Arabidopsis thaliana: one gene and its partner. The protein of the gene in region 1 interacts with the protein of each later gene in a pairwise test. Each region holds a gene or a part of one and is shown on either strand. Other genes may lie near its edges.

Evidence for each region.
Region 2: the proteins of AT4G32020 (region 1) and AT4G17680 interact in a two-hybrid assay, tested with the Arabidopsis thaliana proteins (one large-scale study listed by BioGRID).

The regions. Positions count from the first base shown.
Region 1 is NC_003075.7:15,486,049-15,490,670, forward strand, and holds AT4G32020 (serine/arginine repetitive matrix-like protein), read left to right. Parts: upstream 1-1,865; 5' UTR 1,866-2,027; coding exon 2,028-2,573; 3' UTR 2,574-4,000; downstream 4,001-4,622.
Region 2 is NC_003075.7:9,841,956-9,846,170, forward strand, and holds AT4G17680 (SBP (S-ribonuclease binding protein) family protein), read right to left. Parts: upstream 2,380-4,215; 5' UTR 2,141-2,379; coding exon 2,043-2,140; intron 1,946-2,042; coding exon 1,875-1,945; exon of another isoform or gene 1,796-1,874; coding exon 1,545-1,795; exon of another isoform or gene 1,521-1,544; coding exon of another isoform or gene 1,473-1,520; coding exon 948-1,472; 3' UTR 655-947; downstream 1-654. Other genes in the region: AT4G17690 (Peroxidase superfamily protein), read left to right, coding at 4,172-4,215.

The DNA of each region.
Region 1 (4,622 bases):
TTTCTTCTCAATAAAGAAAATTTATTACCTAATGCCCCTACCTCTTCCCAAAACCAATAACTAGGCGTTTTTTTTTGTCCCATTTTTCTTTGTTGGTTTCATTTATGAATACACTACATATTATTGAAAAATAACACAAATGCCCTCCTTAAATTCATAATTTTACAATATTTATATTAGTATTACGTTTTTTGCACTAATCACTAGATATATGAATATAATTTTAATTAGTTTATGCCCAAAATACACAGAAAGGGCATCAAAAGCATCAATTTATTTTTAATTGACCAAATAGCTTTAGTGATTCTTATTATTAGTAATTTAATACTAGTTGGCGAGAAAAAAAAATACAAAGAAGATGAACAAGTGAAACAAACTTGAGAAATATCCGTGGTCAAAGAAGATAGACGAGTGGGGGTGGCAATAGAGTAAATAGAAAGGAACACGAAGGGTTTGTTTGTAAGGAATATGTTAATAATGGAAGGGCGAAGAAAAAGATGAGACAGAGAGTGGGACCCATAAACGCGTAGCTGAGGTTTTGGTAAGGATCGTCGTGGGTTCCTCCTCTCTCACCCTATAAACCACTTCTTTCTCACGCGCCTCTTTCACATTTATTATTACACCTAAATTTAAATAAATTATTATTATTATTGTGGTCGACCACTTCTTTCAAAAGTTGTTGTCATTTACCTATTCCCAACACATATATTCTACTCCACCTTAAGAATATCTATTTCCTTTTGTCATTAGAAACACTTATACGAACCTGTTACATATTTGCAAGGTCGTATCAATATGTTTATCGACATAATCGTTAGGATCTTTGGGTTTCTCAATGTTTAATAGTCTTTTACCTCTCGTTAATTAGATATAAAGATTGGATTTATATACATAAATACAAATTTAAAATTAGCGTTTCAATATCATATTATTATGGATGTACAATGTATGGGAATAATGTAAAGCTTACTCAAAGCCAAAGGGCGAGATATATTATGCCTAATGGGGTATTATTTTAATGTTTAACGTATGTGATCATGAAAGCGACAAATGCGTAATGGAGGATTTTGTTGCTTGGATACTGTTCGGCAAAGTAGCTTTTTTTAATTCAATTATTTCGTATTATTATTGACAACTTGGCTTAATTATTTAGTGTTAATCATTTTGTTTGTCAACAATTACAAACATCTGCACAATAACCTTTGATGTGACTTCATTTTTGTGTAGGGGGTGATATACCATTTCTTATTCAAAATATTGAAATAGTCCTCAGTGTAAGAAGTAGAGTTTTGGGATCAGCAGCCATATGTCCTCTTCAAATTATATATGTTTATAAAGTTATCTAATGCTTTAAAATATGCATAGCTTTTTTTCTATTTTTTATAAAGTAATTTAATGCTTTCAATTGTACTTATAGATGTAAGATATTAGGTTTAAATTTTAATCTCTGGCCTTTAATTTTGACAAATTACCTTTGAACTTTTGAATTTGGAGATTGTAATCATACATCACACAGAATATCACATATTTGAATACTTTTAATTTTTTGAAATGGTATAGGAAATGAAAAATGTAAAGCTTCTTATTGAATGATAACACACATATGTGATGAGAATAAAAAAGAAAAGAATACAGAATTTATGTGACATATATCTTATTCACAACCATAGTATTGATCCATTGATTAACATATCAAGGAAAGTAATTATAAAGTTAAAGGAAAAAAAAAAAAAAAAAAAAGCTAAACAAAAAACAAAAAAGGAAGAGACAACTAAGCGCGTGTAGTTCACAAACCAGAAGCCGAGAGTCGGTTAAGAAACCGTCTTAAGCTGTTCTTGGACACGCTGAAGCAAATTTAATCGTGTATAAAACTATCCTTCTTCCACCTTCTCATTATATTCATTTCCATCTTTCTAATTTATCTTTCCATTTCCGAGCCGTTGAGAATTTTTTCTGAGAGATAATTTAACAAATTTCTTCTTCTTCTTCTGTTTCTGAACCACCAAATCTGCCTTTCTCAATTAGCTATGGGCGTCGCTGTTCTAAATCCCCAGGATTGCTTGAAAGATCCATTCTCTCACATGAAACAACATCGTAATCCTAGCGCATGTCCCAACAGGCAGAAGAAGACGGTCTCCAACAACCGTACACGCCGGAGTCCTCCTCGTAGTCAATCCTCCAGATCTTCTTCTCCTCCTGTAGCGCCGCCGCTTCCTCCTCCTCGTGCGGCTGTCTCTGCTTTCGTTCCAAAGGGAACCCTTAAGAAGAGTCTTAGCAATACCGTTGCCGTTAGCCAGGTGAGAATCCTTAAGCGCGGCGAAGAAATCCCCAAGGAGACTTCAGATCTGGTTGTGGAAATGTCAGATCTGGGATCTACTCGTCGGATTGGACCAGATCCGGGTTTGATTCCGGGTCAGATCCGTTTATCTGGCCGCAAATCGAAATCAGCACCGTTTTACGCCGGTCCTGTGACCATGACCTCGCCGCCTCCTAGCGATGTCCCGCTTCCAGCTTTCTTCACGAAGAAGGCAACAAATGATCTCATCAGGATCCTTCGCCTAGACATCGCCTGACGGTGTCTGTCACCGATCATTTTTGATTTTTTAAAAATCTCCGATGATCCAAATGGTTACCAAAGTGTTACATTTCCGTATTACCGATCGTCCGATTCCGCCTGAAAACCGGAGATCTGCAACAAAATATAATCTCCAGACGATGATGAATCTAGAAGATGAAGAAACACACATCTTCGTTATGAACCGTTTCGAATCTTCCCTTATTTTTTCAAGGGGCAAGATCGAAATATCTTCTTAACAGGTCTTAGTTTCTCTTCTTAGGGTTTAGTGTTTGTGTAGGAGTATTTGTGTATAGACTTTTTACTAGTTTTCGTATCTTTCTCTGTATCTTCGGGTTTTTAATTTCTGCTTAATCGTCAGGTTCTCTGGGTAAATCATAGGTTGGCTTTTGTCATTTCGTCTGTGTCTTAAGTGGATTAGTTGGTCGTAAGACAAGTTATAGAGATGTGTTTACGGGTAAAGATGAAGCTTAGGTTTTGATGTAATCTTCTTCGGTTTTTCAATTCTCTGTATTTCTCTATCTTTTTAGTTTATCAAGTTTAAGTTTTATTTGGGGTTTCTTCTTCGTTTGGGTATCTTTCTGTTTTTCCTTAAGGTTCTTCGTTTGTTTCCGTGTCGTCTAGGTTAAGTCAAAGTAAAGAGATGTAATTACTGGTTAGATGAATCTTAAGGTTTCCATGTAACCGTTTGTACTACAATTCTCTGTACTTCTCTATCTTTAATATTATCGAATTTAAGTTTTATCTTTGGCGTTTAAAGTTCAGTATTTGGACATTTGATACACATCACATGAGATTAAATAAGATGGTTGACCCAATAAAACCATAAACAAATGAACATACGATGGGTTTACGCAAATGATCTCAATGAATTGTACCTTGGAAAATTATGGAATTTGTGACTAGTATATGTTGAGTTGTATTATTGATTAGCAATTCTGTAATCTCAAACAACTCGGAGAATATGGCGCACAAAAAAATAACTTGCACAGATGTTTCCCGATGTAAGAGCGACAGTTTTGATATGTGTGTGTGTGTGACAGGCAAAGACATTGACAAATTGATATAATCTCTAGTCCAGCGTATAAACAAATCACTAATGCCAATTTGATATCAGAAGTTGAAAGTGACTTTCTCTAAGTTGATAAGTTGATATTGTGCTATCTCAATTATCATCATTACAATGGGTTTAATAGCAATGGATGTTATTATTGTTTAGGTGGGTAATTGATATTTCTTGCTAAGGGTGTCATTATCTCAATATCATATACCGTATGCCACTTGTTTGGTCCAAGTTGTATAAGATATAATGTTCTCTCACAATTAGACAGCCCACCTTAGCCCGATTTAAGGCCCATGTATATATCTCTTCAAGGCTGGACAGCTGGGGCTTGAATTCTAAAAAATTTCTTAGTCATAAATCTGCTGCATTTAGAGATTCTTCTATAAAAGAAACATAAGGTAAGATATATAATCATTAATGACAGAAACTCTTTTTTACTCATCCACAATGTAGCAACTTGCCTTTACCTATTAACGGCGGTACACAGTCGTCAATTGTTCATTGGTCAAGCTTAGCAAAACCATTGAGCCACGTCAGTTTTTTTTTGTTGGTTCCTTTGCAATACTCTACGAACATCATAATTGATGAGAGCATAGGAAGATTTTCTACCTAACAAGGGAAAAAAAAGCAAAACGAAAAAGACGAACCCTAAAGTAATTTTGCCTATTTTTAAAAATTTATTCTTTTAATTTCAGCATTATGCCAAATTTATAATTTTGCGAGAGAATTTTAATTTGGGGAATCTTTACATATTTTTCACATACCCTTTCCCCACACAACTCAGTTTTTGGGTCCCACCTTTCCTTTCTTATTTTTTTTGTCATCACAAACAAACCATTGAGATAAAAAAATTAAATCCAAATCTGCAATCCATCCAGCCACAGACCCGATCTTGCATTTTCGCATCGACATTAAAATGGCAATAAAATAAATCATTTTTTTTTTCTTTTCGAAAAGAACAAAGAAAAATGAGAAAAGGAAGAA
Region 2 (4,215 bases), 5.6 Mb from region 1:
ACACATAAAAAATCTAATATCTTATTAATTATTGTAGTATATAAGATTATAATTTTTTAATATAATATGTATAAAATTGAATATAAATATTTCAAATTATGACCTGTTAACTCAGTAGAAAGTTTTCTTAAATCTATTTTCACCCGTTATAATATTTTTCATGTATTGAACAGTTTATATTCGTTTTTAAAAATTCAAATTATGGCATATGCGAAAAAACTCTAATTATTTTTTTATAATGATGATATTATTTTTTCGCAAAAATAGAATCATATAAAGATGAGAAGTGAACTATAATAATTAATAAAAAATTAATATGATAATTTAGATATCAAATCTAATTTGTTAATTTTAATTGTTTATTTTTTTGGAAATTAATAATGTATTTCGTTTTTCTAATTAAATTAAATTAATTAAAATTTAGATATCAAATCTTATATGTTGATTTTGATTGGTTATTGTTTTTGGAAATTAAAAATGTATTTCGTTTTTTAATTAAATTTAATTAATTAAATTAGTATTTGACTTTTTAATCCTTAAACAGATAAATTAATTTACTCTTTAAAATTTTATTTCTAATGGTATACCTATGTAATTATTTACAAAAAGTAAGGTTACATTTAAAATGTACTTCCCAAATAATATAGTAAGATTTCTAACGTAAATGAATTCAATTTTAGCAATTTCTTCAAAACGTTTTCTGAAAAAAAAAGCGAAGAATATCCAAAAGAAAGAAAGTAAACGAAGATGTCAAAACGAAAAAAATGCCACTACATGTGGCTATGTCCTATGTACATCATCAACTATATATAATTCAAATCTCATTTTCAATCTTTATTTTTGCCTATAGAAAACGTCCTTTTTCTGTACTGTTGTCTTGTTTGTTGCTTAGATCTGGATGGACCCATGGGCCTATAACGGGCCTATCAATTAAATACTCATCATCATCAAAATAAAACTTCGACACCGGAAGTCTTCACGGCGAGGCAAATCGGACAGACTCGCACTGCTCCGACGTCGCATCCATTACAAAGAATCAAATGTTGACACGGCAATGCCATCACCGTCGCAGATTTCCGCCGGCAAATCCTACAACTTGGTCCGATCAATTCGATCCGCTCCGGATCCACGTAAACCGATTCAGCGTCCTCTGCTTCTTCCGCGTCTCCGCCGTCTTCTCCGAACGTACTCTGTTTCGCCGCCGTATCTAGGCGGTTAGCTATGGCTTGTTGGAGATGAGCATGTAACGAGGACACCTCAGCTTCCCGCGTCGCCGCTCTTAACTGCCAGTTTCGCGCCTCTTCCACGATGTGAGCTACACGCGCTTCTAGCTCAGCGTGACGGCGCGTGGCTTTCTCCAACTCCGCTTCTTTTTTTCTCAATTTCCGTCCGACTATCTCCTCCGCAGCGCACAATAACTCTACGTAGCGTCTCTCTCTGTTATCCGCTAACGTACGCCGCAACTCTTCACCCTGCAAAATCAAATTATCAACACAAAGAAAAAACAAACCAAACCACATTTTAGGTCGAGTTTAATAAGACACCTGAGTCTGAATGAATCTGTCTAGTTCATCTCTTTGCCGTTTAATCTTTCCGGTAACATCTCCGGGAAGAGAAGAAAAAAACTGTTGTTGATTCTGTGACTGATCATGAAATAATCGAAGACCAGTGGAAACCACGTTAGGCGTTTTCTGCAACAACTCGGTTATATCAATAACTTGCGACGGTTTTGGAGGTGGAGGGTTCATCAGAGCCGATGAATAAACTTCTCTTGATCGTTTTCTTGAATCAACCCCTGTTTCAAAAACGGTGATGATTGAATGGAATTGAAGGAAAAAATTTGGAAACGATATGGGAATAATGAGAAGAGAGACCAGCTTTGGTGAAATTAGTGAAAGGAGTGTCTTGAGGCTGCAACGAACAATCACTAGCTTCTTGTCCGTTACTGTTCAATAAATTTTCATAAGAAATTGAAAACATCACATACATAATAAATACACAGGGCGTATACTATTACTATATGATTATATGAAGATTTTTACCTGTTGTTGAAGAAGAAACGTGAAGGATGCTGAGCTTGAATCGCCATTGAGCTATCAGAGAAGAGACCTATGCGTTCATTATCAGATAATAAGGGCATGCATGTGTGTTTGTGTATATGGGAAATGATGATGCTGATGATGATGAAAATGTATTGATTTTTTCAAGTATGAATTAAGAACTGAAAAAGAAAAGGAGAAAGAATGGGAGAAATAAATGGGGAAGATGAGGTTTTAGAGGGGAGGGGGACGAAAGGGTACAAAGACTTGTGGGTCTTTTTAAAGCTTTCAACATTATATGCATGATTCACACTAATGTTACCATTTTTTTTTTGCATCTACTTCTATTTTTTTCCTTAGTACTAGTACTCTTTCAATCATTCTTCAGTTGCAATATAGACTATATAGTATAATTTAGAGACTGAATCAAAATTAAAAGATGTGAACGATGTAACACTCTTCCCAAAGACCCTTCCAACCTAACTAAACCAAACCGTCTTTCAACCAAACTAATCCATTTTAGATCAGTCGATACATCACATATTTGCATGTTCCAGATGAATAATCTGTAGATGTATTCGTTAATCTTGTAGTACCTGAGGGTTTTAGCTACCTAACAATTTTCTTTTTCAATTTTTTTTTTTTGTTTTTTTTTTTCGTTTTAATTATAACTTAGATAGATCTTGGGCCAAAACCTAGATTATTATTACATGATGCATATAGTGAACCGAGTATTTCTTTTTTTTTTTCATTTAAGATGTTTACAATAACTAAATAAAAAGCTAACAATAGCGGTCCATAGTTTCATAGCAAAAAAAAAAAACAAAGAGAGAACAATAGCGGTCCATAGTTGGTTGGGATTCATATCTAGGTTTGATGTATAGGATAAATCCTTCACCACTCTTCCAATATAACCAATGTCCCAATTTTTGATATTATAAAAAGAAAACGGAGGAGTCGTCAATTATTGAAAGGTCTAGATCCATGTCGATGGCTAGATGCATATAAAGCATTAATGGATCGGACGTCATATATTCTTCAAATAAAAGGTATCAAATTAGATTATCCCTTGGTGCACTTCACGTTTCCTCATTGATATTATGCTTCACAGTTGCATATTATATATATGCTGGTGAGTCTTTTTCAAAACGATAAGCGACATACATATTCTAGCAAACAAACAATGTTCTACTTACCACATGATACATATAGGTACATAATGTTTCGTCATCAGTACACATTGCCATAGCGTATACATGAGATTACAAAAATTGAACTATATATAAAAAGAAAATCAAGCTTATCAAAATGTTTGGAGGAGTATGAAACATAATAATATATATAGGCATGATTTAATACTTTATAAACAGTAACACGTTAGCGAAAATTGATATCTAACAACAAATAATTTGGTTCTAGCATATGTTGGTCAGAAAGAATGGTAGGAATTTATATACTAATAAATGTCAACAAGATGACATAAAAATCTAGAAATGTGGTGGCAAGGTAAGCAACAAATTGATATAAGATGGATGGCATGTCCATTGTCAAGCAGTTGCATGATTTTAGTGGTCAGAACTCAGAAGTCAACATTTTTCTTAATTTTGTTTTTGTTTATATTTCAAATCAAGAGCAACATTAGATTAAGTAAAAGTTTGCTTGTATGTTTAGCCTATCAATTTAAATTTTCATATCTCTAACCATCAATAATGTTTTCTGTAGATGCTTTAGTTGATTAATCACCATTCCAAAATTCTTTCAAAAACAGGAGTAGTAATACAAAACAAATCAATTGAGTGATTAATCACCTTCACATTTCCCCAATTAGCATGCATTCCATGTTTGTGGTTTAATTAACCTAGAAGCCAATCGATTTTATAATGAATTAGTGTTAGAAAACGTTTCTAATGAAAAATGAAAGTAAAAACAAACTAAATATAGACCAATCACTGAAATAAAAAGAACATAACAAAAGCCAAACTCCAACCACACGTACATGCTTCTATATTTCACCGATAACAATTCAATAAAGAAGTCTACCTCATAGACATCTCTTTACATTTCAATTCCGTTTCCATATTTTACAAACAATATTTCTTTCACAAATCGATACGAGTCTCGTGAAATACACAATGTCTTCGGTTATAAATGTTCTCTTCGTCGTCCTAGTCTTTGT